6 linked regions of the Oryzias latipes genome follow. The protein of the gene in region 1 interacts with the protein of each later gene in a biochemical or structural test. Links are inferred from orthologs where the notes say so. Each region holds a gene or a part of one and is shown in the gene's direction. Other genes may lie near its edges.

Region 1 (4,749 bases):
GACCGTTCCTCCTGCACTTATCAACCCCAGTTTGCTCCTCGAACGCTTCCTGAAAATATCCGCTTTGTCCGTAAGTACAAAATTTGCTTTTTATCTCTGTGACATTGTCTTGTAGTTGATTCGTATCGACTGCACTTAAAATCTTCTTCCTTGAAACAGTTCTGCCATTTCAGTTTGGGAGTCCTGGACTTCAAAGACCAGAATTGTTTTTACAATTCTTCTTTCTTATTGCACCTTTGGCTGAAAAAACTAAAAAAACTCACCAAAATTTGCACACAGTGCCCTACCTGGTGAAAATTAATTTGGCAAAGTGGATCCCAATGGTGACATCACGGCGGGAAAATCCGTCAAAAAAAGTAATGGGGAACATCTATTAATGGGTTAAAAAAAAAGTTTTAAATCTATTAATGAAATCAAACAACACGTGTTGAAGATTTCCAAAGGAAGTTTGGAAATTATTATAAGATGACCACCGGAGCCAGTGGCCATTTTCTTGCAAAGCGTGAAGTTTTCACACAATATTGGAAAAGAAAACTTTTGTTTGAATGACCTTCACAAAATTTCACATACACCGCCAGCTTTTAAGTCTACAACTAGTTTTGTTGACTTTTGACTTTTTGAATTAAAAAAAACAATTTACCACCAGCTACAAATTACACCTCCTTCTATCGCATCTTAACTCCTGGAGCATCATCGGGAAGCTATTTGGAAAAAAATGTTGCAGATTTTGAAGGCCATTAGCGCGGCAAGCTCCCAAAAATGGCGTTCCCCTGTTGCTCGCACATGTTTTTACCAGAATATTGTGAAAATGTAATGAAGGAGTCGTTATCTCAAACTGAACGCAACGATATACAATATGAGCATATTAGGATTGTGGGGTTGCTTAAGAAATAACCTCTGTCGCCAAAGAAATCCAAAAATTTACTTTTGCAGATTCTTCTAAAAATGGCATAGGCCTCAGGCGACAAAAAAATAAAATGGTTCCTATGGAAACCAATAGAACATTTAAAAAAAAGTTGTTTTCTTAATGAATTTGTCACATGAGGCTTTGACCAGTTTGGCAGAAATGGAGACTAAGGGGGCATGCTGCAACCGTTCAGCCAGTGAGGTGGGGTCAAGGGGGCGGCGAGGGAGGGTAGCGCCTGCGGACCATGCAATGTCCCTCGCACCTTTAACGTTAAAACATTCAAACTTCTTCCTTTTAATGTTTTTTTATAACGTTTTTTTAAGAAACTTTTAAGTCCAGTTTATGTTTTTCAATCAGAAAAGTGCTTTGGTGCAAACTTAGCAAGAAATTTCAAAACAGATATTTATCACTCCTGTGTTAGTGTCTCATCGTTAAATACATTTATAAATATGTCATGAAATGATTTTACTTAACACTTTTGAAGTATATGTTAAAAAAAATGTAAAGGGTTGATTTTATTTAGTTTCACCAGAATTATATCACTCCAAGAGATTTGGCACCAAGAAGTCCAGTGATTGCACTTTTAGGGGGAAAAAAATCATCTGGTCACTTAGTTAAACCTCCTTATTTTCATATGGGACTAAATATTTTCATTGAGTCAAGCCAGTTTAGCACCTGGACTCTTACACCCACTCTCACCACAGAGCCATGAAGCTGCACAGAAAACAAAACATGTGGTTTAGTTTGGAAGAGAGAAGTGGCTGATTTCAACCTGAAGTTATCCAAGTTCTTCCTCTCTTGTTTAGCTCTGACGGGGCAGTTTTCACAACTTACATAAGAAATGTGAAGTTTTGATAAACAGGCAAACGAAAAAGTATCTTAAAAGTCAATGTTGACCCATAAAAGCTGACTGGACATGTGTGGCGTTACCTTTCAGTTTGGGAACATTGCAGACGTCAAAAGAGCTTTTATTGTTTTAATAGATTGTTTTATTGAAATGTTGTTTTCATGATAAAACAGTTTTTAAAAAAGGCCAAAAGGCTGCATCCTCTCAATTTTTAGCAAAAGGGAAATATATTTAGCTTAAGGATGTGTAGGTATCATAGAAATACAATTTGTACACAGATTTGTGTTCATTTGTTAACTTCTAACTCTTGAATTTGTTATTAACTGATTATTTAATTGTTTCACAAAATGTCCAGAGTTGTCTTAGTTCTCACTCTGTAATGCCTATTTTTTTATTTTATTTTACAGACTAACATATAAAGGGGTCTACGTATTTTTAAACAATTATATTTTATAACCCTTTACCAACTTTTGTGTTTTTTAAGAGAAAAACGTTTTCATTACTATGGACCCTGCTGATAAATAAATGTTTATGGTGTGGATCTTTTTTTTTGTCCTTGACTCTCTTTGTTGACCTCTCATTTTTTCTGCAGAAATGGACCCCAAGCACGTCCTTCCTTACAGCCCTCTGAGGAGGACGTGTGGTCAGGCGTGGCACACCATCCGCTCCCTGAAGGAGGACTGGCAAAGGCTGCAGCAGGGCCAGAAAGCTGCCATGTGAGACACGCACGGACTCAAGTTTCATCCAAAAACTAGCTAAAGGTTGTTGTTTTTTTTATTAAAAAAGGTTTTTTTTTCTTCCAGCATGAGCCTGCTGAGACACAACTCCTCACTGTCCAAACAGAAGAATGAGATGGTTTCCATGCACCAAAGACTTACTGCCAAGTTGGAGTTCTTCACCACCAGCCTTCACATCGACATGGACAAATACCAGGAGCAGACAGCCACAGGGATTGGTATGTGTTCATTGGATGAAGTTTTAAACACCCACTGCGATCATCATTTGATCTATTTTCAAAGAGTTCCCAGTGGTCTTTTAATTAGGTTGATGCCGTTTTTAGCCCAAATCAAAAACCTGCGTTGTTTTCTAGGACATAGTTTCTGCAGAGTGGCAATAGTTTATTAGAAATTTGCCTCCGAGTTGTAGGTGGGGAGTAAGCCCTACGCAGATTTCCCATCATGCCTTTGCGGACATGCTCAGCCCCTCACAACCCCCACCTAACATTACCAGTGCAAGAAAAATGTCGAGAAATGTTGGGCAAAATCATGTTTTTGGTGTTTTCATCATGTTCCTTTGGCATTTTTCTCATGATGGAGGACATATATTAAGAAAATTGTCCTTAAAATGTCTTTTCTGAGTATTTCATTATCTAAATCATTGGAAATTAAGAGCAGACAAAAAAATGCCATTTGAAAAAACGTTTATTTGACATGTAAAATATATGGTGGGCAGGCCGAGCTCTCAGCAATAAATGGTTGCCATGTTTCATAAAAAAGGTTTTCTTGCTGTCTCAATAAAAATGTAATTTTTTCTAAATTTAGGTATTGCATTATGTTTCTTACCAAATGAAGATGTGTTGGGGGAAATTTGCTCAGAGGTAAATTTCTAATGAACTACTGCCACTCTGCAGAAACTATGTTTTACAGAATGGCTAAAAACGATAAAATCATTAAAAAAAAAAAAAAAAAACACTGGCAATGCTTTGAAAAGATGATCAGAGTGGGACTATAATAAGTTATATGTATGGTTTATATTTGTATTACCTGAAACAACTCGATCCAGGTGTTTCAGTTTTACTGCGACTTTCTATTTTTCACAGCGTCAGAGAAGCTTATGAGTGTGTGGAGGGAGATGGAGCAAACGGCTGTCAGCTGTGGTCAGGTAGGCCTGAGCGGACCACAATAAGCATGTCAAGCAAGTATTTCCATTCTTTAAAAAGCCAGTGTGGTCACCAGGCAAAAGTGTCTGAACTGGAGGACGAGATGATGCAGCTGCAGCCAGACATCGTTGATGTGCAGAGGCAGCCGTGGAGGTGTGGAGAGGCCTTGGATACGCTGTAAGTCTCAACCCGAGAGATGGAAAAATTTAAGGACCAGCTGGGCTTTGAGCCTCCTCTCTCTTTGATCCTCAGCGAAGGAAAAGCCATGGAGCTGTTCCGAAAACTCAGAGAAAAACCCAGAGGTTAGACCTTTTCCACGCATCACCTCGCGCCTTATTTAAACCCTGGTCGTGGTGAGAGCAAAATAGAACTCCTGTAATTTGTCTCGTTTTTTTTTTTCTTCCTTTTTTTTTTCCTCTCCTCCCGCTTTATTCCCTCTGCTCAGACCAGAGATGTGCAGGAGACGGTCAGGAGGTGATGCGTCTGGTCCTGCAGGCTGTGCAGGTCTACGAGAGGAAGCTCAAAGATTTCTATACACACCTCAGGTACCCAAAGACAGGATGTTGTTAAATTAAATCATGAATATGTGTAAAACAAGGTTTCAACATATGGAGCGTTGCATGTTTTGTTGTTGAGATTCAACTAATGGCCTCATTTATTCATTTTTTACGATTTAGTAATGACTGCTGGCCTCTAACTCGTATACCTTTGTATCCAGTGCATTTCAGTTAGAGATGGATAGATATAGATATACATATTTATAAATAATTGTACACAAATTTTTTTGATTTTAAAAATATGGCGTGATTTTTATGTTCTCTTTTGTCACCCGGCCCTGTGTGTTTCGCAGTAAGACTGCGGTGTGTCGCCAGCGTGTGATGGAGCTCCTACCAAAGGTGGAGGGCGTGGTCCAGAAGATGGCGGAGAGCGAACAGATCCTGATGAGCCTGCAGGAGAGGCGACAGAAGGAGCTGTGGAACCTGCTCAAAGTGGCCTGTGTGAGGACATGTGAACGCACAAAGACCTCAACATTAATGTCACGTATGCTTTGCCTAAAGGGCAAATGCACTTTGTGAAAAAACATGCAGTAAAATGCACCGTTGTTTATTGTGCAGA
Region 2 (4,688 bases), on another chromosome or scaffold:
CACCATCGCTGTCATGACAGTACAAATAAGTAAAGAAAACGGATGGAAATTTATCTTTGTGACACCAAATAGGTGCAGCCAAGATGCACAACAAGCGTGTTTGAGATCACCCAGGTGAACTCAACGCTGCGCAGATCACCTGGTGTGTGACATATATTTGTTTTTGCTCCAACATTAACTGTCAATCATCGCAAAAATATCGCGAGAAAGGGGTGGGGCAAGGGGCAAACCTACCCAGACACAGCTGAAAACTGAACTGACTGAAAGCTGCCCTACAGACTACAAAACAATGCATTATGGGACATGTGTCCTGATGGTTTTTGTAGTGGAGGGATTAATTAAAATAATTTAAAATACCAATTCATTAAAAAAGGCTACATACATTACAAAACATTCAAATAATCATAAAATATATAATAACACAGATCATACTAAGGGGGAGAAGAATATTAAATCTAAATTGAATGTTAAGGACAGCTCCAATTTCCTGTTCTCCTTCAGTCTTGCTGCAGATTCGCTTTCATCTCACAGCCCCCCCCCGCCTGGTCTCCCCAACGATCCAGGCGAGGTGCTGGTTCATCTCAAACACGTCTATCGTTGCATTTTCCCCACGTATTTTCAGTGTGTCTAAAACTAATGTTGTTTTTGCTCGAGCGTGTTTAAAGTTCAAGCCCCGTTAGCTGTCACGCATGTACGTCGGGGGCATTTATTCTCCTCAGCTGACCCGACTCCCGCGGGACGGGAGCGGTGTGCTGCCGTAACCCGTATGATGCGCCGCCGTAACCGTAACCAAAACCTAAACCTTCCTCCGGATCTGTGTGACCCAGAGAAAAGTTCAGCACGGACTGCATGTATTTAGAAAATTACGAGCGAATAGATACGTTCTAGAAAGGAAAGTAAAGAACTCCTTAATGTGGTCCGGGGAGGGGGCTGTCAGGTTTCCTGCTTGCAAAACCCTGTCATTGCCACGCCCCCAAGAGTCATATACCCCACTGTGATTGGTTGGTCAGCTCTAGGCCCCTCCCCCTACACGCATTTTAGCCACTCACAGTGACTTTTCCTATTCTTCTCAGACGCAGTGGCCGCCTAACACACAGGCATCACGCGAGAGTGTTCGTGCTTGCGTTTCATGAGTATGTGCGCGAGTGTGTGTGCCTGCCTGCGTGCGTGTGCGCTCGCGTCTCATTGATTATTTCATAGATCATTGACGTGCCCCTTCCACGTTTAATGTATAAAAAAATACGAAGGGTGGGGGAGGCAAATTTACTGCTCGCACATGTGCGACTGGATGTAAAATTTAGTCGCACACTCTCAAATTTTGGTCGCAAAATGCGACCAATTGCTCGCAGTCTGGAGCCCTGAATCCTACAAATATTTAGAAGGAGATATGAAACAAGAACATTTGTAACAAGTTACTTTGATTATTATCTCAACCATAGGTCTTAAACTATGTTCATGAAAAATCTATGGAAATGTGCGTTTCTGCGTTCTGCGTTCAAAACTTGTGCATTTGCACGCAGCTCAAATGTTTCTACGACCGGTTTTGGGCTCATCATACAAAACACGTGGCCATTGAACAAGCGCTGAAAACTAAACTAGGTTGAATTTGTCAGACGTGGTAGTAACCTATGTATGGGGACTTTTCAGTTTCTTGAATTTTCAGTTTAAAAATTGATCATGGAGGATAAATTAATATTTGCTGGAGTGAAACTAAGCCAAATCTTTCATATATTGGAATAGAGCTGTGAAAGAAAAAGCCTGGAGGAAGAGTCAGGACATTTGCTCCGCTTCTACATTCCACATCAAGCCTCTTCCAACTGTAGGTGGTGGACAAGTGTTAGTAAAAAAAAGAGAAAACGATAAAGAAGAAGCCCCTCCCTGCTTGTCCAATGTGAAAACCCACATTTTCACATGCCTGGTGTGTCCAGAGCTTTAAGCATTTAGTGCAGGGGTCCCCAAATCCAGACCTCTCCTACATGTTTTCTAACCAACCTGCCATTGAAGCTCCATATTGGCTAAACAAGGTATCAAGGTAGTCAGCAGCAAATAAGGCAGGGTTTCTGGAAAACCAGCAGGACACCGGCCCTCACGGTCTGGATTTGGGGGCCACTGATTTGGTGGATGAAGTCCTCCGATTCAATTCAATTCAATTCAATTTTATTTGTATAGCCCAAAATCACAACAACAGTCGTCTCGATGGGCTTAAGTGAAACATGAACTCAAAAGGATCACGAATACAAAGAGTTCAATAGCAAAATACTAAAATGAACTAACAAACTGACTAAACTATACTGGCATCCCTGCCCTTAGACCCCCCTTCGCGGTAAGGAAAAACTCCCAAAAAACCGGATTCCGGAAAAACGAAGAAACCTCAGGGGTGTCCACATGAAGGAGGGATCCTCCCCCAGGACGGACAGGCGATTTACCAGAACTCAAAGAGAAGAATTTACTTATCTAAATCTACAACTACACATTTAAAGTCCAGCAGACGAGCTTCATCCAGCCGACGGCGGATCCCCTACAGAGTTTTTATTCAGAAGAAAAGGGGACTTTCCAAAGTCTCAGGAAGTCTCATGGCGGTTTGTTTGTGTCTTGAGCAGGAAGGAGCTCATCGCTGAACTGGACCAAGACGAGAAGGACCAGCAGAACACGTCCCGTCTGGTGCAGGAGCACAAGAAGCTGCTGGAGGAGAACAAGAGTCTGTCCACCTACTACCAGAAGTGCAAGAAGCAGCTGGAGCTGATCCGGGTGCAGCAGCAGAAGAGGCAGGGCACTTCCTGATGAAACGGAGACACGCCCACTCCCCTCCCCCCTGCACTCTCAACACTACCCCCCCCCCCCGGCCTGGCTCCATCCAGAGCCCCTCCAGGAAGACTTCTCAAAGGAGTTTGCACTTCCTCACAGCCTCTCTGGGACGTGAAGTTCACATGAAAACCAGTTCCCCACCATCCTCACAGCCCCTCCTGGTTTAACCGCCCTGTAGATTTTTGTGTGTAGATGTTTTATCCCTGAATCTGCTGGAGGATCTGCTCAGCTCTCCTTTTAGTTCACATGTTGCCTTAGCGGTCGGCTGAAGTTCAGGTCGGATCATGTCTGACAGAGGAGCTACGGAGACTTTCCTTCTTCATACCCGACGGAGGTGACGACATTCTTTTAGATGATCATCATGTTTCTCACCAGCTTTAGATCCAACTCTGTTGTTTTTGCACAGTTACTACGTTTAGACGACTTTTATTGCTATTTAAACTTTTTGGTTTTAAAAGAAAACTTGAGGAGTCTGGACTGTACGGCCCGGTTGGTGACCTGGCGTTGGCGCTCCTCCGCCTGCGAGCGCATCGTAGGCGATGGAGGTGCGGACTGACTGCAGCCGAGGCTCACCTGTGGGGTGAATGTCCTGCTGCTCCCACACCGCGTGAATGTTTCAGGTTCAGACAGGGTTCGGTCTGAGCCAAAGACGCTGCATCCCCCAGCTGTTGGCCCCGCCCCCATCTTCTGGACGTGACCTGGATGCTGGGATCAGACGTGTGGTTCTTTGCATTACAAGATGTGATCCTGGTGTGTTTAGTGTGAATAAAAGCAGCATAGAGGTGCATTCAAGCTCTGCTCAGCTGCACTGTAAAGCCCAGTTCTGTACATTTTTGCTGATTCAAAAGCTGTTTCTGCTTCATGAACGCTGAAGTTTGGCCTTTTGTCTTGATCCTCCACATGTCCTCAGCAATAGAGAAGTGAAATGTTCTGCACACGTGCAAAGATGACAACTATGTAGGAAGACTAGCGCCACCATGTGGGAGTCCTAAACCTTTAACAGCTGTTGGTCGGTGGAAAAGGATGTTTCATCACTTAATTCTTCAATCCCTGTGTTTGTAGAGCTCTTCTCATCAACAGGCCTTAGTCCACAAGGTGCTAAACACAAAGGATGTATAGAAAAATGACAAAACCTACAAGCAACAACAACCAAAAGAGCAACAGCAAATAGAAGGAAAGCTGTGGCTAATAGAGATAAACCAGAAAATTTTCAAGGCAAAATAAGAAATGTTGAACATTCCTGACAGTCCCACAAATCTCCTTAGTCAGTTGTTGGAATTCCTTTTCAGAATATAGATGGCTGTTCAATTCTGCTAACTTTTCTTTAAAATGCTATGCAAATGAGGTGGGAGGGGCCTCACAGCGTGTCAAGAGAACAGAGGTGCATCCCCAAAACCAGCAGATGATGCAGGAAAGGCTGTGATTGGCCTCCAGCGGTTGAGTAGGGATCGGACAATAGGTGGCAGTGCTACTGAGTCTGACACTATGACAGAACTATCAGGTTACAACAGTGGAGACTTTTGGTCGGGTCTTCTAAATCTGAAATCCTTTGCTCTGATTTTCTTCGGTTTAACCTTTTAGTGCCCAAATCTTTGAAACGGCAGCAAGTCATAAAACTCCAGCTGCAGTTTTTGCATCATTGTTCAAAATGTTTTTTTTTTATTGTTTTATTTATTTATTTTTTTTTTTTAACTTGTCCTGTCCAACAGCTAGGCAAACAGATGAGAGCTGAGGGCCTCTTGTGTTGGACATATTTTATTTTAACAAGAGGGGTTATTCATCTTCAGACAAACCAAAGGTATGTCTGAATAAACCCCTTTTGTAATTGAGGCCAAACTTTATTAATTTCAATCATGTTTGAAAATCTTTGGTGTTGGACCGGA
Region 3 (4,749 bases), on another chromosome or scaffold:
CTTTTTGTTCACTCCAGTGGCTACGACGCCCCTTAGGACGTCCACCTGTGTGGGTCCGTGGTCAGTGTGTTCGAACCCTGCTGCAAACGCAGGGGATGACGCCAATGGAATGTGAGCTGCAGAAAAGCCTGAGGGAGGGGTCAGAAGGTCAATCTTTGTTCGCTAAAAGTTGCAACATTTACACTAAAATTATTTCAGTCTCCTCTACAACACAACCGATTCACTATAAATATTTTTTTATTTAGCCAGTAAAAGCTCTAAAAGAAAAGATATTATTTTTCAAGAGCGACGTTGAGTGAAAATCCAAGTCCTATTACCTGTCACACACCTAGGTGTGTGAAATTTGTTCTCCACATTTGACCCATCCCCTGGGGGAGCGCTGAGCCACGCTCGGTTTAACCCCGCGACCCAACCCCTTAATGCTGAGTGTCCAGCAGGGACATATTTATTTAGAGTCTTTGGTATGACTTGACCTGGATTTGAACTCACGACGTAACAGTGACGGGGCAGACACTCCACCACAAGGCCACTGAGCTTACGGGTAGATACAGGCTGTCTGTGGGCAAAAAAAATGGTCATACCTGTACAGTCCAGGCGGGTGGTCTGAAGGAAAAGTGGAGATAGTAGCTCGCTTGGTGAGACGCAGGAATGTTGTACAGACTTTTCTTTTTCATCAAAACGGCACTAACGTTAGTGCTAAGTGGACGGCTCCATGTGTGACAGAAATGAGGACATCAGAGTGTAGTTTGTGTGGACGTCCTACAGCACTTGGGTGTCACGTGCACGCCCCATACGTGCACTCATTGAGGAGGCAGAAAGCGTGGGTTACTAAAAACCAGAAATGCGGGCTTCTGGAAAACCAGACAGCAGCATCACTAGTTCGGTTTTGCTAAAAACTGCAAAATCATAATTAAAGAGACCAATGGGAATCCAAAGATGATCGGAGTGGGAGTATAAAAAACAAAAGCTGTTTAGGATGTTCAACCACAGAGAACATGCTTCTTTCTGGTCATCAAGTCAGTTCTGCTGTTTGACTCTTTTGGAAAGGGCTAAATGTAGGGGTAGGGAGAAGACGGAGGGGCAGGGGAAGAATTGGGATTGGTCCTTGGTCTGTTAGAAAGCACAACAGAGTCGTCTGAACATAAAGCAAAAACGTAAGGAATTTGGACAAAAAAACATGAATGGAGTGAAGCTGTAGTTTGTTTCCTGGTTAATGGATATGTTGGTTTTAGCCAAAAATCTAAAAAACCTGTGTCGTTCTCTAGGACATAGTTTCAGCAGAGCGGCAGAAGTTCATAAGAAATTCAGCTCTGAGTTGCGGCTGGGACCGTCCATAGTAAATTGTCCATAGGTGTGAGTGTGAGAGTGAATGGATGTGTGATTGAGGATATTCCACCCTGCGACAGACTGGCGACCAGTCCAGGGCATCCCTTGCCTACACCCAAGTGGCTGGGATAGGCTCCGGCAACCCCGTGACCCCAAAAGGGAATAAACGGTTAAGAAGATGAATGAATGAATGAGCCACTATGGCTGCATTGCCCAGAGTCAGATGGAGAAGATGCAGAAAAATCTGTGTGACCCACTGCAGATCAAGAACGCCGGAAAGGACTTTTGGGTTTGCATCCAAATGCGTCACAGTCCATGAAGGCAGTTTCCCAAAAGGAGGAACTTCAGATTCACTACTCTGCAAGATTTGATTCACAATCCACACACGACTAACATTTCTAATCCAGTTTCCATTTTGTTTGGTTATAAAACTCTTGGAAGGGGACAGTAGTGGTCTCCGCGACGATCGAAACCTCCAAACTGATGGAGCGGCTGCAGCAAATCCCCGGATAAACCGCTGACATCTCAGTCCAGGAAAGCGCAGTTGTAGCTGCGCAGGACCCTCAAGCTCCCAGGTGTCTGGTAGAGGACCCCAGCTTGGGGTTAGAAATCCCCCCTAGGAGGTTGGGAGGAGATCTTATATTCAATAGATAATGTTTGCAAACTAAACAAAAAGAGATTTTACAATATTAGAATTGTCAGTCCCTTCAAAATCTTTTTTTTTTTCTTTCCCCATCACAGAAACTGAATCACATCAAGATAAAAATCAACAAATATATTTTGAGAATCAAAGTCAGGAAATGTCCCTTTATCTCATTTTGGTTTACACTCTGAACTTCAGCGGGTCAAACTGACCCCGTCTACATTCTTAGATGTGTTGAGCTGCTGCCATGCGGTTGGAGCATTTCCACCTATTTTCTCCCCTCTTTTAAATATTGGATTCTACCGGAGGGGCGGGTGCAGATAGGAACCGTTTCTGTCTGTGTTTGTGCAGAACATCTTTAAAGACCCACTTTGGTGAAAATTGTGTTTTTGGTGTTTTTCACATATGCTTAAAATGAGATAATTATAAAATAATAAAATAAGCTTAAAAATGCATTTCTGAGTATTTCTTTATTCAACTTGTTGTGAATCAGGAGCAGATGAAAAAATTGTGTTTGAAAAAGAACTTATGAGCTTTGCTCCACGCTCTGAGCAATGGGGAGGGGGAGGGGAGCGGGGTTGGTACAGCAGTCCCGCCCACAACACAATATCCTCCTGCAGAAACTATGTCCTAGAAAACAACAGGGGCTTCTAGTTGTCCCGTCATTAAAGGACCACTTGGAACGACTTTACAAGAGATGAAAAGATTATCAGAGTGGGACTTTGTTTTTAATAGGTGTGCAAGATATTTTTTTTTTCCAGTAGGTAAATCATAAAAGTTCAGGATCTCTGACTGAACGCTTGATTGGATGGTTGATGCTGTTATATGATAAACCTGCGGCTGGAATCCTCTACCTTAATGTAAATGCATGTCGTCCATCAGCCCGTCTGCTTAAAGGCTCTGAGCTGTGTGATGAGGATGTCATTACAGCTGTGTGTTCTTTCGTCAGGTGAATAATTACAACGGTCCGCTGAGAGTTCGCATCTCCCTGGTGACCAAAAACACACCGCACAAGCCCCACCCCCATGAACTGGTTGGAAAAGACTGCAAGCATGGCTACTACGAGGCAGACCTGCAGGAGAGGAGAATACACAGGTGAGGGCGGGTTACACCCGAGTCCCCACTGCACCACCCGAGACACCCAGAGGGTCATGACCTTTGTACAGGTCACTGGAAACAGAATGTTCATGTGAATGACAAAGATTTGTTTCAAACATAAAGACAGGAAGGACCTCCAGAGGAAAACAAGCATCATCACAAATAACATATTTTCCGGACTATAAGTCACCCTTTTTTTCATAGTTTGGCAAGGGGTGCGACTTATACTCCGCAGCGACTTATATTAGAACTAAATTGAAATAAATACATTGTTAACCCTCCTGTTATGTTCATTTGTGAGGAACAGAGATGATGTTCCCGGGTCAATTTGATGTATGAGGTATGTTAAGTGTTAAGAATATGTTAAGTGACTCAGAGAATCAGCAAACCTGTTTTACAGTAAGATCTTGAAGGCTAACAACATAATATTCTATTTTCCAATGATTTCATAGATTCAGAAATGCAATAAAAATGACAACTGTTTCTACAAATACAGGATGAAAACAGAGTATTAGTTGGCCAATGATGCTTCATGAAAGGAATAAATAAACAAGTATGAGAAAGAATTACTGTGAAATTATGAGATAAACAGTCTGCTATGATTGTGTCATATGAGGTTGTTCAAGTTATTAGTTCTTGGTCTCAGATTTTGTCAAATAAATTTCCCGTCAAAATGCGACTTATAGTCCAGTGCGACTTATCTGTGTTTTTTTCTACTTTATATGCATTTTTGGGCTGGTGCGACTTATACTCCGCAGCGACTTATAGTCCGGAAAATACGGTATACATTTTTGATCATGATGTAGGTGTAAAAATGAGGCACAGCTTTAAAAAAATGGACGAAAACTGATCATGAAAACAGTATGGATTCATCAAATCCATCCATTTTCCAATCCCACTTGTTCCAGTTCAGGGTCATGGCGTTGCTGGAGCCTATCCAAGCTACTGCTGGGTGTGGGTGGGGTGCACCCTGCATGGTTTGCTAGTAACCATCGATTCCTATTATGATAAGTGGTTGACGATACGATTCAGAGTCGATATTTGTTCATTTTGAACGATTCGATTCACTAAACCTAAAGATGGATCCAGGACATCTTTAGCCAAAAGTTCAACCAGTGAGACTCAGAGAGAAATTCCTGCTACTTAACAGTTTTCCAGATTCTTGTATTTCTTCCAGATCATCAAGTGTAAATGAAATATGTGTCCAAACAAACAAGTAAACAAGAATGAATGTCAAATCCATTCACATTTTGGTTTCCTAAAGTTCAGCCCACTGTTGTTTTTCCACATCCAAAGAATCCAAAGGGAACATTCTTAGAACATTATAGACACTGGATGGTCATATGACTTTATTCAAAGTCTTTCCACACAGGTTTTGCTGACATCACGTGTGTGTTGTCCGCCGTGATGGTCGTTTTCACGATATAGTAAACTAAACGTACTGTAACTCAATCTAAATGGTCCAGGATTGATTGTAGATATATTCATTTCATTTTGAAACCATTCTATAATGGTCTCGGTCGTTTCGATCAACAACTTGCCTCAGACAGATCGATCTGGTTGGACTGTAAGAATTTAAATCGATTCATTGATTAAGTGGATCAGTGGTTACACCCCTATTTGTTAGTCTATCACGAGGACCACATAGAGAACTACACACACTCGCATCTAAAGGACAATTC
Region 4 (4,749 bases), on another chromosome or scaffold:
AGTAGTTACATTTATTTTTCATTACATTTAGTTACATGTATAAGTTACATCTGGCCCTTTGAGGACAGCCGCTATGCTGATGTGGCCCTCAGTGAAAATGAGCTTGACCCCCCTGGTCTACAGCAATCCATCCTTCTACACCCGTACATCAGTCTGTAACTAACTGCCCCAACCCCCCCTCCTCATAAAAGGATCTGAAACCGCTCAGACTTGGTTAGTTTATCATACTAACCTATAGAAGGCCCCTTGTCTTTAGTGCAGTCTCCACAGGTGCATTCCCACTCTGTCTGAGTTGTGTTTAAGAACTCAGAAAACCTTAGGAAGAAGAGATGAGTAGTGTTCTGATAAAAGACCTACCAGGTGCAGTGGACTGTGTTTTACCTTCTACTATGAAACATTGGGGAGAGTTTTCCCTCACTATTGAATTGAATTTTAACCTCAGGTTAAGTGGGAGCAGATTTCTTCGCCTTTCTGTGTGTGATGCTGTAATCTAGGGGTTTTCTATCATGGAAACATCTACAGTACTGTGGTTTTCTCTAAACTTTTTAGCGTCTTGTTAGCTCAGATGTCAGTATTGTTCATCATACAGGTGACCGTTTGGTCTTTTCCTCAGCTCTATTTTTGTCAGACATGACACTTTTAGTGTTCTGTGTTTCAGATCTTCAACTATCAGGGCCAGGCTCGGGTGGTGGTCCAGTTGGTGACGGCGCTGACCTCCAGCCCACAGCTTCACGCTCACAGTCTGGTGGGGAAACAGTGCGATAAAGGAATTTGCATCGCCGACCTGCAGTCCAAAGAAGCCACCATCAGGTGTGCGCCTTATGCCGTCGGCCTGAACGTGTTAAACCAATGACGCTCACGTATGTTTCCTGTTAGTTTTCCTAACCTGGGGATCCTCCATGTGACCAAGAAGAACGTGGCCAAGACTCTTGAGGAGAGAATGATTGAAGCGTTCAGGATGGGCTACAACTGCAGCATCTCCATCCATCCAGAGATCGACGCCGTGCAGGGGGAGGTCCGCGTCCCGCGAGAGCTCAGCGGTCAGTGAAGGTTTCGGGTCTACAGGTCCCACCTTTGATTCTCGTAACCCCTAAACAGAGCTCTTCTGTGAAGTAGCTGAACATTTAGTACAAATGGTGCAACGATGAACTAGATAAAACTGTTAATTAGTAAAAGTAGGTGACAATTAGTCCTGTGGGAAAGCTTAGATACTGCAGCATAAGTTCATTTTGAGCTAGAAGTTTTTGTAATTATGATCCTTGCTTACATGAAAAATTCTAAAAAAAAAAAGGATTTTCTCCTGAAATCTTTGTTGCAGTACGGCAGTAAGGTAAAACTACTCCTGTGATATTGCATTTTCATGGTTCCCATCTGTGTGTCCTCAGACCATCAGCGCTGTGTGATCAGCAGTGCAGCGGCCAGCCAGGCCAAGGAGATGGACCTCAGTGTGGTTCGCCTCATGTTTACGGCGTTCCTCCCCGACAGCGACGGGGGCTTTACCCGACGACTGGAACCTGTGGTGTCCGAGCCGATCTTTGACAGCAGTGAGTTTCAATCCACTCATCCGGAGCGAAGGGAGAGAGCGGGAATCTAACGATGTTTAGGGTCTGCTGGGTAGGGGGGGGGGCAGGGAGGAGCAGCAGGAGCTCCTTCACATGTCAGAATCTGAGGACAAGTTAGAGTCCTGGTTAGTCCTGGTTAGACCTGATTAGTCCTAGTCCTGGTTAGACCTGGTTAGTCCTGGTTAGACCTGGTTAGTCTTGGTTAGACCTGGTTAGTCCTGGTTAGTCCTGGTTAGTCCTGGTTAGACCTGGTTAGACCTGGTTAGTCCTGGTTAGACCTGTTTAGTCCTGGTTAGTCCTGGTTAGACCTGATTAGTCCTAGTCCTGGTTAGACCTGGTTAGTCCTGGTTAGACCTGATTAGTCCTAGTCCTGGTTAGACCTGGTTAGTCCTGGTTAGACCTGGTTAGTCTTGGTTAGACCTGGTTAGTCCTGGTTAGTCCTGGTTAGTCCTGGTTAGACCTGTTTAGTCCTGGTTAGTCCTGATTAGTCCTGGTTAGTCCTGGTTAGTCCTGGTTAGACCTGTTTAGTCCTGGTTAGTCCTGGTTAGACCTGATTAGTCCTAGTCCTGGTTAGACCTGGTTAGTCCTGGTTAGACCTGATTAGTCCTAGTCCTGGTTAGACCTGGTTAGTCCTGGTTAGACCTGGTTAGTCCTGGTTAGACCTGGTTAGTCTTGGTTAGTCCTGGTTAGTGCTGGTTAGACCTGGTTAGACCTGGTTAGTCCTGGTTAGACCTGGTTAGTCTTGGTTAGACCTGGTTAGTCCTGGTTAGACCTGGTTAGTCCTGTTTAGTCCAGGATAGACCTGGTTAGACCTGGTTAGTCCTGGTTAGTCCTGGTTAGTCCTGGTTAGACCTGATTAGTCCTGGTTAGACCTGATTAGTCCTGGTTAGACCTGGTTAGTCCTGGTTAGTCCTGGTTAGACCTGGTTAGTCCTGGTTAGACCTGATTAGTCCTAGTCCTGGTTAGACCTGGTTAGTCCTGGTTAGACCTGGTTAGTCCTGGTTAGACCTGGTTAGTCCTGGTTAGACCTGGTTAGTCCTGGTTAGACCTGGCTAGTCCTGGTTAGACCTGGTTAGTCCTGGTTAGACCTGGTTAGTCCTGGTTAGACCGGTTTAGTCCTGGTTAGTCCTGATTAGTCCTGGTTAGTCCTGGTTAGTCCTGGTTAGACCTGTTTAGTCCTGGTTAGTCCTGGTTAGACCTGATTAGTCCTAGTCCTGGTTAGACCTGGTTAGTCCTGGTTAGACCTGATTAGTCCTAGTCCTGGTTAGTCCTGATTAGTCCTGGTTAGACCTGGTTAGTCCTGGTTAGACCTGGTTAGTCTTGGTTAGACCTGGTTAGTCCTGGTTAGTGCTGTTTAGACCTGGTTAGACCTGGTTATTCCTGGTTAGTCCTGGTTAGACCTGGTTAGTCCTGGTTAGACCTGGTTAGTCTTGGTTAGACCTGGTTAGTCCTGGTTAGACCTGGTTAGTCCTGTTTAGTCCAGGTTAGACCTGGTTAGACCTGGTTAGTCCTGGTTAGACCTGGTTATTCCTGGTTAGTCCTGGTTAGACCTGGTTATTCCTGGTTAGTCCTGGTTAGTCCTGGTTAGACCTGGTTAGTCCTGGTTAGACCTGGCTAGTCCTGGTTAGTGCTGGTTAGACCTGGTTAGACCTGGTTATTCCTGGTTAGTCCTGGTTAGACCTGGTTATTCCTGGTTAGTCCTGGTTAGTCCTGGTTAGACCTGGTTAGTCCTGATTAGTCCTGGTTAGACCTGGTTAGTCCTGGTTAGACCTGGTTAGTCCTGGTTAGACCTGGTTAAACCTGGTTAGTCCTGGTTAGACCTGGTTAGTCCTGGTTAGACCTGGTTAGTCCTGGTTAGACCTGGTTAGTCCTGGTTAGACCTGGTTAGACCTGGTTAGTCCTGGTTAGTCCTGGTTAGACCTGGTTAGACCTGGTTATACCTGGTTAGTCCTGGTTAGTCCTGGTTAGTCTTGGTTTGGTTAGTCCTGGTTTGTCCTGGTTTGTCCTGGTTAGACCTGGTTAGTCCTGGTTAGACCTGGTTAGTCCTGGTTAGACCTGGTTAGTCCTGGTTAGTCCTGGTTAGACCTGGTTAGTCCTGGTTAGACCTGGTTAGTCCTGGTTAGTCCTGGTTAGACCTGGTTAGTCCTGGTTAGACCTGGTTAGTCCTGATTAGTCCTGGTTAGACCTGGTTAGTCCTGGTTAGACCTGGTTAGACCTGGTTAGTCCTGGTTAGACCTGGTTAGTCCTGGTTAGACCTGGTTAGACCTGGTTAGTCCTGGTTTGTCCTGGTTTGACCTGGTTAGTCCTGGTTAGACCTGGTTAGTCCTGGTTAGACCTGGTTAGTCCTGGGTATGGATGGCGCCCCCACATGAACATACGTTTTCAGCATTTCTGCCCAAATCAAAGCGTTTCCTGGAGTGACAGCTACCAGAGTGTGAACCAGGATAACCGAAGGTTTAATCTTCTGATTTTGGAGGAGACAGAACTGCATGCTGGGAAGGGAAGAAGCAGCTTTCTGTAAAGTTCAGCTGGTCCTCAATAACAACCTTAAACTTGAGTGAGATGATCGGCTAAGATCCCAGGAGGACCTTAATGAATATCATCCTGGGACCTTCATCGATAATGAAGAAAAAGCTGGACTTTCAGCGCCGCTTTGCTTCTCCCTCAGAGGCTCCAAACGCCTCCAACTTGAAGATCGTGAGGATGGATCGGACGGCTGGCTGTGTGACGGGGGGGGAGGAGGTCTACCTGCTCTGCGACAAAGTCCAGAAAGGTAAGAGACCATTCTCAACACGCAGGTGAAAAACTGAAAACTGCAGCTGGCGCGGAGGGTCATGTGACCGAGCAGAGCAGCTTTGCTGGATTGGTAAAGATTTGAATCCTCATGGACTTAACTGTGAGGAAGAGGAGGAGGGTTCCATCTGCAGATGAAGACCACTCTGAGCTCACAAACATCTGCATCCGTCTGCAGACGACATCCAGGTGAGGTTCTACGAGGAGGATGAGTCGGGAATGACCTGGGAGGCCCTAGGAGACTTCTCCCCCACAGACGTTCACCGGCAGGTCAGTACCAGCAGGTGGCGCTGCAGCCAACGCTTTTCTGATCCCTGCGTCTTCCTGCTCTGAACCGCGATGACCAACGCTCTGCTGCAGTGATGTTCTGTGTTGTTGTCATGGAAACAGTTCG
Region 5 (5,451 bases), on another chromosome or scaffold:
CCTTTCATCGGTGTTCTCTCCGTCTTCAGAACCTTGACGTCCTTTTGCTTTAGGGATGTTCCACCTCCTCCGTGACTGTGGGCCTGGAGTCCCTGTGCTTCTTTCTCCTGCATCCTCAGTCAGGGTGGCAGCGTCCGTCCTGGATGCAGTGTGCTCCCTGTCTGTGTTTGTGTTGGGTTTAATCAAGAGGTGATGATTTTCACCAGTTGAGTTCACAACCTTGGATGGTTGACTTTCTTCAGGCTGAAAGAAATAATATTAAATAGAGCTACCACAGCTATACAGCACAAATAACAAGACCAATTTCTTTATCAGGTAACCTGTATATTGGGAAAAATATCTTTGTTAGCTTGGATTTTACCTTAAAGGTGACAGGAAGGACTCTCCTATTTAATTTCCTTATTTGAGCTTGCTCCTGAAGAAATTGATTATATTCCTTTTTCAGCTCGTCTCTCAGTCTTTTCTGTTGCAAAAAAACCCCAAAATAAATAAATAAAAGGTATGAACAAGGCAATATAAAAAAAAAAATAGTGCACACAAGGACACACCTTTATGGATGCTCTATCATCAATAGGTAAGGAAAGCCCTTGGTGTTGTGGATGAGGTTCACAGGTTTTTAAATCGTGTTCCTTAAAAGGTACATGTAAGAATAAAAAATAGAAAAATAAGTTGGCAGAATGGAGAATCAGAGGTAACACAGTCAACAAAAATTCTCTTTAAATGATCCTATAATAATCGTATGATATCTGACCTTGGCTGCATGATATTTGAAGTCCAGCCGCAGATCCAGAAGAGGTTTCTGTTCCTCCATTTCACGCTCTGATACTAAGCCTCAGTTAAAACCTAGAGAGAGAGAAAAACATAGCAAATAAATAGCCAGTATAATTGGACTGATTGAAAATTAAAACTACCACAAATACTTCATCTTGTTTATGATAAGCTATATGGTTCCATATTTTGTGGATGCTAGAGTTTTACAAAATGCACATCACCTGCAAATGATGAAAAACATTCATACAGAAAGTTAGTTGTCCAAGGTCAGATTCAAGAACTTTCTCAGCATACAGGTGCATGCAAATTGAAAGTTAGGTGTTTTCCATTATAAACTCAAACAGCACAACCTGGCAGTGAACAAAGCTATAAAAATGAAACCTTAGATGAAACTCTAACTCTAAAGGATACATACTTAATTAATTAGACATTTTTATGACTATTCTGAATGTTTTCGCCGCACTAAAATGGCAACGCAGCAAGCGTTGCTATGGGCAACCGTGACACAAAGGTTGGCACAGGCTAAAGAAGTTAGCAAACACGAAACCACAAAAAACTCCGTATATCTAAAGTTTATGTGGTAATCATACAAACTTAATCGCATTTCAATAAAAATATCTTTGAAAATCCTAAACGTGCTTTCTAAGCTTTATAAGATGACAAACACGAAGTAACATTGATGTTTTACCTTTACTCTTGACCAATGACGTTCGCTAATGTGTTTTTTCGAGAAGTTTTTTTTTTTGCAGCATTAATAACTGTTATCTCCCATTAGGGTCTTTATTAGATATACAATGCATTAAATAAAAAACAAAGTTCTAAAAACAGGATAAAAAATATTCTCAAACCTGTCTGCTTTTTACAAGTCTCACCGCTAGATGCCAGTGCATCCTCAAGTGTCTGCTGACGTCTCTTTTGGACTAAACCATTATCAGAGGGGTGACAGTACCAGAATTGATGGGTACATTTAGCAGAACTTTTAACTCTTACATAAATTGTATTGATTTTTTCAATATATTATTAATGATCCATTTTAATACATAAAGATACGAAACTTCGACTTTTGTATTTTTCCAAATCAACAAAGAAAGGTTCAATCTTTCGACGTCATTGTTTTGGTATCGTTCCCTGTCATGGCTGCCGTTGCAAGAGAACGTCTGGCCCTGTTACTTTAGACGGATATACACAATTTCTTTGTTTGTGTTGTTGTCACTGACGTTCGAAACGCTTATTCTTCGTATTTTGAATTGACACTTTATCATGGCTGGAAGTAGTACAGCTCAGAAAACGTGGGAGCTGTCGAACAGCATGCAGGAAGTCCAGAGCATCGATGAAATTTACAAATACGACAAAAAACAACAACAAGAAATCCTCGCGGCGAAGCCGTGGACAAAAGAGTACTTTCAACCTGATTGACTTCATTCCTATTTGTTGTGTCGCGTAAACTAATTGTGTTTTCTTTTTCTCAAATCATTAGTCACCACTACTTCAAGTACTGCAAAATCTCCGCGTTGGCCCTGCTGAAGATGGTGATGCATGCCAGGTCAGGGGGGAACCTGGAGGTGATGGGTCTCATGCTGGGGAAGGTGGACGGGGAGACCATGATCATCATGGACAGCTTCGCTTTGCCTGTGGAGGGAACAGAAACCAGGGTGAACGCGCAGGCTGCAGCATACGAATACATGGCTGCCTACATTGAAAACGCCAAACAGGTGGGATCATGTTATTTTATTGTAAAAACATACACCAACACTGAAATGACACAGCAGCAATTACTTCTTCTTGACAGATTACACAGTTCCTGGTGGAATTGTTGAAAAACTGTCTCTTATTAAGATTTATTAGTCATAGGTTCTGTGTTCAGTATGTCAATATGTCTATTGAAGTGTTCTAATCTTTTATTTAGTTTCTATTGTCGTTATGACTGTTCTTCTTTTTTTTTTTTTGGTGGGCTACAGGTAGCCGGAATAAGTCCAGCCTGGATTTTCTTGAGTTGCTGTCCCGCTGTTTCCAGTTATCTTTGGGGATAGCAGAGCATTTATAATATTCATTTTTTTGTTTTTAAAAGCTTAAAAATAACTTCTATCCCCGACTGACCTATTGAAGTCTGTCTATTTCCTTTCATAAATAGTTTCCGTATTTTTTAGAAACTAAGCAAGCCACGTCAGATTTAGTAAAACCTTTTCATTGTATTAAACAATAAACACTTTATAATATTGTATTATAAATAATTATGAATAATTTTGTTATATTTATCTTTTTAACCCCCCAGGTTGGCCGTTTGGAGAATGCCATTGGCTGGTACCACAGTCACCCGGGTTACGGATGCTGGCTGTCAGGGATCGACGTGAGCACTCAGATGCTCAACCAGCAGTTTCAGGAGCCTTTTGTTGCTGTTGTTGTACGTATAAACTTTTATAACGTTATTTTAATGTAATTTCCTGCTAGTGGAATTTTTAAAAAATGAGGAGGAAAGTTCCTGTTTCGTCTTTAAAAAAAAAACATTACAAGAACGTAAATGAAAATCTATTAATGCATTCACTGCATGTTTTGGCATTGCACTACTGACTATTTTCCTTTTGCAACCCCATATGCTATTTACACGTCCTTTAGTTCAGCAGGGCTTCGACGCCAGGGGCGTCGTATAATTAAGTGTGTGTTTTTTTCACACTGACAGCTGCGGGAAAAAGGCTCCTAGTGAACTGATTCCAGTGGTCTCTGGAGGATTCCGACCTTTGACTTTGTTTTCCTGTTTTACTGTATCTTGTGTCCTACAGATCGACCCCACTCGGACTATTTCTGCAGGGAAAGTCAATCTAGGTGCCTTCAGAACATACCCAAAGGTACAGCAAAGACCAAGAGAAACATGGTGTTATGACTTATTGAAGTCATAAATTAAATTTTAAGTTCGAATCGTTGATGTTAGTTTTTTTAGGAGGGATCTGAATAAATATTTGTCATAAATATACATCAGAATGTCTTAATTTGTTTACTTGTTAATGATTAAACAAATGTGCTAATTCTTTTTTTTTATTTTGTATTATTTTTTAACATTTTCCTTGTGGATTTTCAGGGTTACAAACCTCCAGATGAAGGACCATCAGAATATCAAACAATCCCGCTGAACAAGATAGAAGACTTTGGTGTTCATTGTAAACAGTGAGTAAATTTAAAGCACTAAACCACTCTTAATAAATCAATCAATCAAACTTTATTTATCAAAACTTTATGTATCAAAGATGCATATATTTAACATGCTCCTGAATTATCTTTTTTTTCAACTCTTTATGATTGTCTCTATTCAGATATTACGCCTTGGAGGTGACTTACTTCAAGTCTTCTCTGGATCGAAAGCTCCTGGAACTCCTTTGGAACAAATATTGGGTCAATACCTTAAGTTCCTCCAGCCTTCTTACGGTATGTAAGCCACCTCAAAACTCAAAATGTTCACTAATTGTTTGACATTTTGATTTATGGTTAATTATTACTCTATAACTCATTCAGACATGGAGTCAACATGTTGTGATGTGTTGATTTATTGCTGCTTTTTAGCTGGCCCTGCTTGTTTATTGTTTTTAGTAATAAGGTCTTTGTGAACTTTGGAGCAGAAGAAGATGATGGGTATTAAAGTTGGACTTGACTCCACTCATCCAGAAGCCCCCCGCCCCTCGAGCACAGTTTTTTCTAAAGACTGAAAGGCCGTCACATGAATTTGCATTGTGGTCCTGAGCTGGGTTAAATAGACACCAGGCTTATCTAAACAGTTCACTCGCTGGCATTCTGGATGAAGATGTATTGACTAGATGTCAAGAAGGAGCTGCTCAGTAGGTGACGGGCTTTGTCAGTTGCTACACTGTCACCCTAGTCAGGCCCCCCCCATGGCATTGTGTTTTAATTACCTGCTCTACTATAAACACAGCCTCACCTTAAGCAAACTTCTCCATGACTTCTTTTCCTTCGGGACAGCTCAGAGATGGTTCGATTTGTGGCTAGTCTGTAACAAGTTCTTTCTATGGAACACTCTGTTATCTGGCTTTTGTGTGATAAGTGTGCGTACATTGGTTTATTCTGTCTCTTGGACGGCCAGAACTCGGACTACACCACGGGTCAGGTGTTTGACCTGTCGGAGAAACTGGAGCAGTCGGAGGCTCAGCTGGGCAGAGGAAGCTTCATGCTCGGGTTGGACACGCATGACAGGAAGTCAGAGGACAAACTGGCCAAAGCTACTCGAGACAGGTAAGCCTTTAAATTTGTTGCTTTCCTTTTTTTACTGCAGATTATACATATTATGGTAAACATTAGGTGGCCTATAAATGAACTTGGCATTGCATTTTTGTTTATGTAATCACTACAAATAGCTTTTAGCACCCATGAAGTGTCTATTTCCTTTGTTGTTTATAGTAAATTTAAATATAAAGTATTTGCGCTATTGTTCAAAGCAATTATTATTATTATTATTTTCACCCATCCCTTATATGTTTTAATTGGGGTCATAAAAGAAAAAAGGTAATGCAGTAATGGTGTTTTTTAAAAAGTCAAAGCTAATGAAAATGTTTAAAGAGACATAATGGCAGAAAAGGGCCTTGAGACAAAGCTGGACACGAGTGTTCTCAATGTGGAGCAACAAGAAAAACTTAATATATGAGAGTCAATCCTGAAGTAGAAGTTTTGGTTGGAGGC
Region 6 (5,396 bases), on another chromosome or scaffold:
TTCCTTTTTCAGCATATCTGACCACACCAGACAGGTGACTTTTTATTTTATTTATTTTTTTGCATTGCAGCAGGTCAGTTGTCTTTGAGGGGGTTTCCACGTGTGACTCAGCTAGTTTTCTTTCATTGCTTCCACAACCAGCCAGTCCAGTTTGTGACCCAACCATGATGAACTTTAAAAAAAATGTTTTTGGAAAGTTCAGTCATTTGAGTTAAAAATAGCAACTACAGCATTAGCATGTGAAAGGTTTGCTACATATTTTGTTTGTGTGTGTATCCATGGGCTCAACAAATACTCACAGCAAGGCGTTAGTGTCTTAAAGTGACTGTTCATTGCTAGACACTATTTGTCACCTCTTAAGCAACTGAGCAGTAAAAGATAAGGCCTGTAACTCTGTCCTCATGCCTCATACCTCACACCTATGTGTCAGGTGATTTTAAGTTTCTGTTCCCTGCTCAAGAGGGATGTTGAAGTGTAGTTTCCAGAGTTTGGGTAAACACAACCCAGAAGTAGGAGCATTTCCAAAGGGAAGAGAAAGGAGAGTGGAAAGTGAGGGGCATCTCAGTACAGTTTTATAAGCTTTGCTCAGGTAAACAGGACCCAAAGCTTCATCTGTATATTTCTCCACAGTGGAGATCATAACTTTTACACCTGTTCCCACAGGTAAGTAAAATCCAAGATGTTGTATTTTTTTCAATTTGTGTTAATTTTCTTCTTTTGTATGGTAGTTTACCCATGTCTCTAATCTAGTTGTTGAATAATTAACAACTTAAAATACATTGTTTTGTAAAGACTTTATTTTGTTTGCATTTTTTTACATGATGTGTCATATAAATACTATCTTGTACTGGATTTGATTTAAAGTTGGGTTTTCTGCTTTAAGACATCAGCAAGAATGAATAAAAAAATTAATTTTCTTGTGGGGCTGTTTGATATTTCACAAACCCTGCAGACAATAGCAGAGAATCTTCTTGCACAATAAATACAGGGTGAATCATGTGCAACATCAGCAAACTCTGCTTGAGAGCTGGAGCAAAGTTTAACCGCTCCTACTTGGGTTGACCACATTGAGACGGTTGGTGTGCTCCACCACGCAGCTGATGCCCTAGCCATTGAGAGCTTGACAATCTCCACAAACGACAGGTGTGACATTTGGTTCAGGGATGTGTAGACTCTGAGGTTGCAGCATGTTTTTTTTAAGCTGCAAGTAAGCATATTTTGCTGGCATCTTTTTCTAAATTTGTGTATAAATCCAAATTTAAGGTCAAATAAGAAACATATAGGTTAAAAAAAGGAAAAATGTGCAAAAAATTGAGGTGAAGGAAAAATAAAATAAAATAAAGTTATACAACCAGCCAATTAAGTGGGAAAAAAACACATTCTTGTGCAGACCGTGGTGCTAAGAGTTGTTGGAGCAAAATACCTCAAAAAACAAAAATATTGAGGTGGTGCGTAGGACACACTCATGATTAGATGTTTTGTTTATTGCACTAACTGGTTACATTCTTGCAGCTTTGTATTTATTAGGATCTTGTGTTTGGTCTCTTATGTGCACAAAATAAAATGAATATGATTTAAATTGTGCATAAAACTTTTTTTTAAAAGGAGAAAACTGAATATATTTTTAAGTTACTACTGCATGACAGCAGGAGTAACGTTTTTGCTTCTAAAGCGGCAAAAGAATAGAAAAACATAATTTCCAAACAGTTGAAACAGTCTCACGTCATCACTGAAAGACTATTTTATGCTCAACTCGTGAGAAAGGGGACATCTGCTTCTCAGAATGTGTTTTTTGTTCCGTTTCCTGGCTTTTTAACTTGGAGAGGTCTGACTGAGGGGTAATGATTTATTTCATGAAATCGAGGATGACGCGACCTGTCTGTCTACCTCAGTGACGCTTCTTTGTGCTCAGTAGGTGGGATATGTTTCACGGTACTGAGTCAGACAGTGGAGCCCCTCCTAGCGGCAAAGTGCCGCAAGTGCACGTTTTTTTTTACAGAGAGGGAAATGGGTGGACGGAAAGTCCCTGTGTGGAAATCCCCCTAACTTCTTCTTTTTCTTTTTTTTCCTTTTTTAAAAACTAGTGTTAGTGGACGCCTGTAGTCTTTCGAAAGGCTTCGCGAGCATCAAAGGTTCCGAAATAGATCTGATAGGCTGTTGGAGGAAACAGAAGGGTGAATGGCGCCGAAGACTGCTGCGGTGAGGCTGAGTAAAGTGGCTGAGAGAGGACTTGCTTGAGCATCCGGGAGGCTTTGTTGTTACCCCGACATATTGCACAGGTAAGACGCCAGCCCCAACTCCTCCTTCTGCCTCCACATGTAGGCATTTCTGCACAATTCCGGGAGATTAAGCGGCTGAATCCCCGCTCGGGCCTCGAGGAAATGTACGGTCGTGGTTGTGGGGACATGGAGGAAGCGTGAAGCCTGCTCACGACAGCGGCGTTGACAGCCATTGTTTACAAAGACGTCACCGTGAAGCGGCTGGGCGACGCTTCCGCGCCACCGAATGCGCCGTCGGTGCCGCTGGCAGCGGCTTCTTGTCGGTCTGGAACGGCACATTGTTTCCATTGGAGTTGTCGTTGTAATTACGTAAGCCTCGAACGTCAGCGAAGTCTGCCGCGACCGTGCGGGCGCCGCTCTCCCGCACCGCTCATGCCGAGACGACCCGCGGGTCCACGGGCTCCCTGACGTCCAGCCCAGACACAGCAGCACGGCACCGCGGTCACCGGCGCTCCTGCACGGCCTTCCCTGCTGTTGCACCTGCTGCTGTTGAAGCCTGACATTCATTTGTCAACTTACTGGTTTCACTATCAGCTCAGAACTTCATGAATAGGCTGGGAAAGTTCTCATTTTAGCCCAAACTGCTCAACTAGACCCTCTGTACCACCTTCACGTGACTTTTGAGCTCTAATTTTTTACAACAATCTCTAATAAACTTTATTTGAATGTATAAAGTACAGAAAAAAACGTTTTAACAAATATTGAGTCCTGGCAATCTTTTAAATACACGTTTGACGCAAGCTAACAGCTGGTAAGGTGTTGACAGGAGGGGAAAGCCTGTCTCGTGACCTTCCCAGAAGCCCTAGCGATATTGGGTGGCCTGCAGTGTAACTCTGGAAAACACCAGTCTTTTGTTGGAAAGCTTTGAGATCAATGAAAAACCAGTCAAAGTGAAAAACACAGTATTAGAACACACCAGGAGATAAAGGTTTCTTTGTACGTAAGTTCGACCCTTTTGGAGAATCACCTAACTTGATCCACAAAGGAACCCTTTACTGTGATTGGTGGTTTCCTGAGGAAAATTAAATACTAGGTGAAATCTAGGTTTGGAGCCTGTGATGTTGTTTAGGGTTGTAAGATCACTTATTTTGTTTTACCTCTCTGTGTCTCTAGCCTGCAAGTTGCTGGGTCATCGTCGGCTGGTGCTTCCTCCTCCTCTCCTCACTCCTTTTCCTCCCCTCCACCCATTCTCCTGGCCATCCGTCATGTCGCAGGGCCAGAACTTCCTCCCCAAATTCCTGTTTGTCTCTAACCTGCTGAAGGCGGTGAAGATCCGCCAGCGAGTGCCCAATGATGTGGTGAAGCCTTCCACCAGCGGCCTCATGCATCACCTGCGCGGAATGCACCGCTACACGCTAGAGATGATCGCCATGAACCACTTTCCTCAGGCCTTCAGGGAGGTAGTTCAAGCCGCCATCTTGGACCGAGCCATGCAGGCCTCGTTAGAGCAGGAGAAGAAGCTCAACTGGTGTCGGGAGTTGAAGAAGATGGTACCTTTACGCACCAACGGTAAGAAATGCTACTTCCGAGAAGAAATTTTGGGCAGTATGTTTAGGCAAAGATCCACAAAGTTGGTTGGATTTTTGAAAACACAAACCCTGTGGTCCTTTGTTAGTTCAAAACTTTTTTGTGTCAATTTTAGAAACAACAGATGTCATCCCCCCACAGAGGCGTTAACTTTTGTTTCATTTTCTATGTCAGAGAAGGTTTGTGTTCATGAGATAGGAGGATCTGATATGCACATTCTGAGATGTCATTACTCACAAGAGGGGTTACTGTAAATGACATCAACCGAGGTGCATGGGTTCCACTTTCACACCGGCTCCTTTGGGTCATGTTTTCTGTTACGTAGGAGCTGTAATGTGGGAACATCCCGAGGCAGACAAACATTTACTTTGGGGCCTTGACGCATTGTACTTGGAAATTCATCACGCTGCACTATTGTTTACGGTCAGCAATGAGTGTTTCCATTTTTTAAAAGTTGAGGGGTTTATCCCCTGCTTTTTCTGTGGGTGTGTGCAAGTGGGGGTGTCTCTGTGAGGGGTGTGAAGGTCAATGAATCTTTTTAAAATGCCTCCACGCCCCATGTTTCCATCCAGTCTCTGTCACATGTTTCACCCCCCTTGTCAGACTGCGGTCACTCAAATGTGACTGAATACAAATTTTCTGCTGGGAGGCATTGCTTTCTGCCTCACATATAACCTGAAGATGTCTGTTGTGACAGTCTGATGTGATGTAAGGTTTAAAAAGACATATATTTACTGGTATAATCACAGTTAATGCACACAACAAAAGGAGGAAATGGAAAATGAATTGGTTAATTTTTCTTCACAATGTGAAGTTTCCAAGGGAAATAGTTCTGTTTCATGTCAGGGGTTTCTTGATGTATTCCATCTCAAAGTGTAGCTTCAATTGTTTTTGGATGCATGAGGAACTTGCAGGATGTGTCATGCATCGCAGTATATGCAAACAGTGAAGTTCAGTATTAACTAAGCAACTTCCTGTAACTCATCAATACTTAGTTCCTCTCCAAAAAGACCCCTGAATTGATGACAAACTCCTTTGAATTCCTGTGCCAGTAAGCAGCATGGAATTTCCTGGCCTGCAAATATGATGTCATAAAGGAGAGACCGAATTCAGATCTGGATCGTCTGACTCTGAAGGACCCAGACGTGACTTTGAGCAGGGGACATGTATCACACACACGTATAATAACCACACACACACACACATCTATATCTATCTATCTATATATATAGTTTTATTTATATTTTTATATATATATATATATATATATATATATATATATATTATATATATATATATATATATATATATATATTATATATATATATATATATATATATATATATATATATATATATATATATATATATATATATATATATATAAAATAACACACAAATACATGCAGATTTTGTGCTGCTGAGTCACTGGATCTTCACCAGCACACAGACAGAGGAGTCAATCAGAGAGCGTCCCACCTCATCGGGGACTAAAATCTGTTCCCGAACCGTGCTGTCGAGGTCATCCTTGTGTGCGGTTCAAATCTCTGGAGATGAATGACGGAGGAAGGGGAAATACTGTCATAAAAAC

The links.
Region 2: of the proteins of ikbkb (region 1) and map3k7, one has a biochemical effect on the other in vitro, tested with the Homo sapiens proteins (5 studies listed by BioGRID). The link is inferred for Oryzias latipes from reciprocal best matches to the Homo sapiens genes IKBKB and MAP3K7.
Region 3: of the proteins of ikbkb (region 1) and putative transcription factor p65 homolog, one has a biochemical effect on the other in vitro, tested with the Homo sapiens proteins (4 studies listed by BioGRID and IntAct). The link is inferred for Oryzias latipes from reciprocal best matches to the Homo sapiens genes IKBKB and RELA.
Region 4: of the proteins of ikbkb (region 1) and nfkb1, one has a biochemical effect on the other in vitro, tested with the Homo sapiens proteins (4 studies listed by BioGRID and IntAct). The link is inferred for Oryzias latipes from reciprocal best matches to the Homo sapiens genes IKBKB and NFKB1.
Region 5: of the proteins of ikbkb (region 1) and cops5, one has a biochemical effect on the other in vitro, tested with the Homo sapiens proteins (2 studies listed by BioGRID). The link is inferred for Oryzias latipes from reciprocal best matches to the Homo sapiens genes IKBKB and COPS5.
Region 6: of the proteins of ikbkb (region 1) and tnfaip3, one has a biochemical effect on the other in vitro, tested with the Homo sapiens proteins (2 studies listed by BioGRID and IntAct). The link is inferred for Oryzias latipes from reciprocal best matches to the Homo sapiens genes IKBKB and TNFAIP3.

What each region holds. Positions count from the first base shown.
Region 1 is NC_019867.2:6,215,971-6,220,719, forward strand, and holds part of ikbkb (inhibitor of nuclear factor kappa-B kinase subunit beta), read left to right. Parts: coding exon 1-70; intron 71-2,346; coding exon 2,347-2,470; intron 2,471-2,557; coding exon 2,558-2,709; intron 2,710-3,573; coding exon 3,574-3,635; intron 3,636-3,709; coding exon 3,710-3,810; intron 3,811-3,885; coding exon 3,886-3,935; intron 3,936-4,078; coding exon 4,079-4,178; intron 4,179-4,483; coding exon 4,484-4,631; intron 4,632-4,748; coding exon 4,749-4,749.
Region 2 is NC_019882.2:20,574,438-20,579,125, reverse strand, and holds the end of map3k7 (mitogen-activated protein kinase kinase kinase 7), read left to right. Parts: intron 1-2,600; coding exon 2,601-2,781; 3' UTR 2,782-3,671; downstream 3,672-4,688. UniProt on the Homo sapiens protein: Serine/threonine kinase which acts as an essential component of the MAP kinase signal transduction pathway. Plays an important role in the cascades of cellular responses evoked by changes in the environment.
Region 3 is NC_019876.2:27,210,145-27,214,893, forward strand, and holds part of putative transcription factor p65 homolog, read left to right. Parts: intron 1-2,918; coding exon 2,919-3,064; intron 3,065-4,749. UniProt on the Homo sapiens protein: NF-kappa-B is a pleiotropic transcription factor present in almost all cell types and is the endpoint of a series of signal transduction events that are initiated by a vast array of stimuli related to many biological processes such as inflammation, immunity, differentiation, cell growth, tumorigenesis and apoptosis.
Region 4 is NC_019868.2:30,853,552-30,858,300, forward strand, and holds part of nfkb1 (nuclear factor NF-kappa-B p105 subunit), read left to right. Parts: intron 1-658; coding exon 659-810; intron 811-876; coding exon 877-1,040; intron 1,041-1,385; coding exon 1,386-1,544; intron 1,545-4,230; coding exon 4,231-4,335; intron 4,336-4,533; coding exon 4,534-4,625; intron 4,626-4,745; coding exon 4,746-4,749.
Region 5 is NC_019878.2:17,008,358-17,013,808, forward strand, and holds the start of cops5 (COP9 signalosome complex subunit 5), read left to right. Parts: upstream 1-1,882; 5' UTR 1,883-2,031; coding exon 2,032-2,168; intron 2,169-2,248; coding exon 2,249-2,483; intron 2,484-3,043; coding exon 3,044-3,172; intron 3,173-3,548; coding exon 3,549-3,614; intron 3,615-3,844; coding exon 3,845-3,930; intron 3,931-4,076; coding exon 4,077-4,188; intron 4,189-4,858; coding exon 4,859-5,007; intron 5,008-5,451. Other genes in the region: cspp1 (centrosome and spindle pole-associated protein 1), read right to left, coding at 1-243, 362-463, 549-629, 752-811. UniProt on the Homo sapiens protein: Probable protease subunit of the COP9 signalosome complex (CSN), a complex involved in various cellular and developmental processes.
Region 6 is NC_019873.2:16,684,248-16,689,643, forward strand, and holds the start of tnfaip3 (tumor necrosis factor alpha-induced protein 3), read left to right. Parts: upstream 1-1,939; 5' UTR 1,940-2,279; intron 2,280-3,392; 5' UTR 3,393-3,484; coding exon 3,485-3,788; intron 3,789-5,396. UniProt on the Homo sapiens protein: Ubiquitin-editing enzyme that contains both ubiquitin ligase and deubiquitinase activities.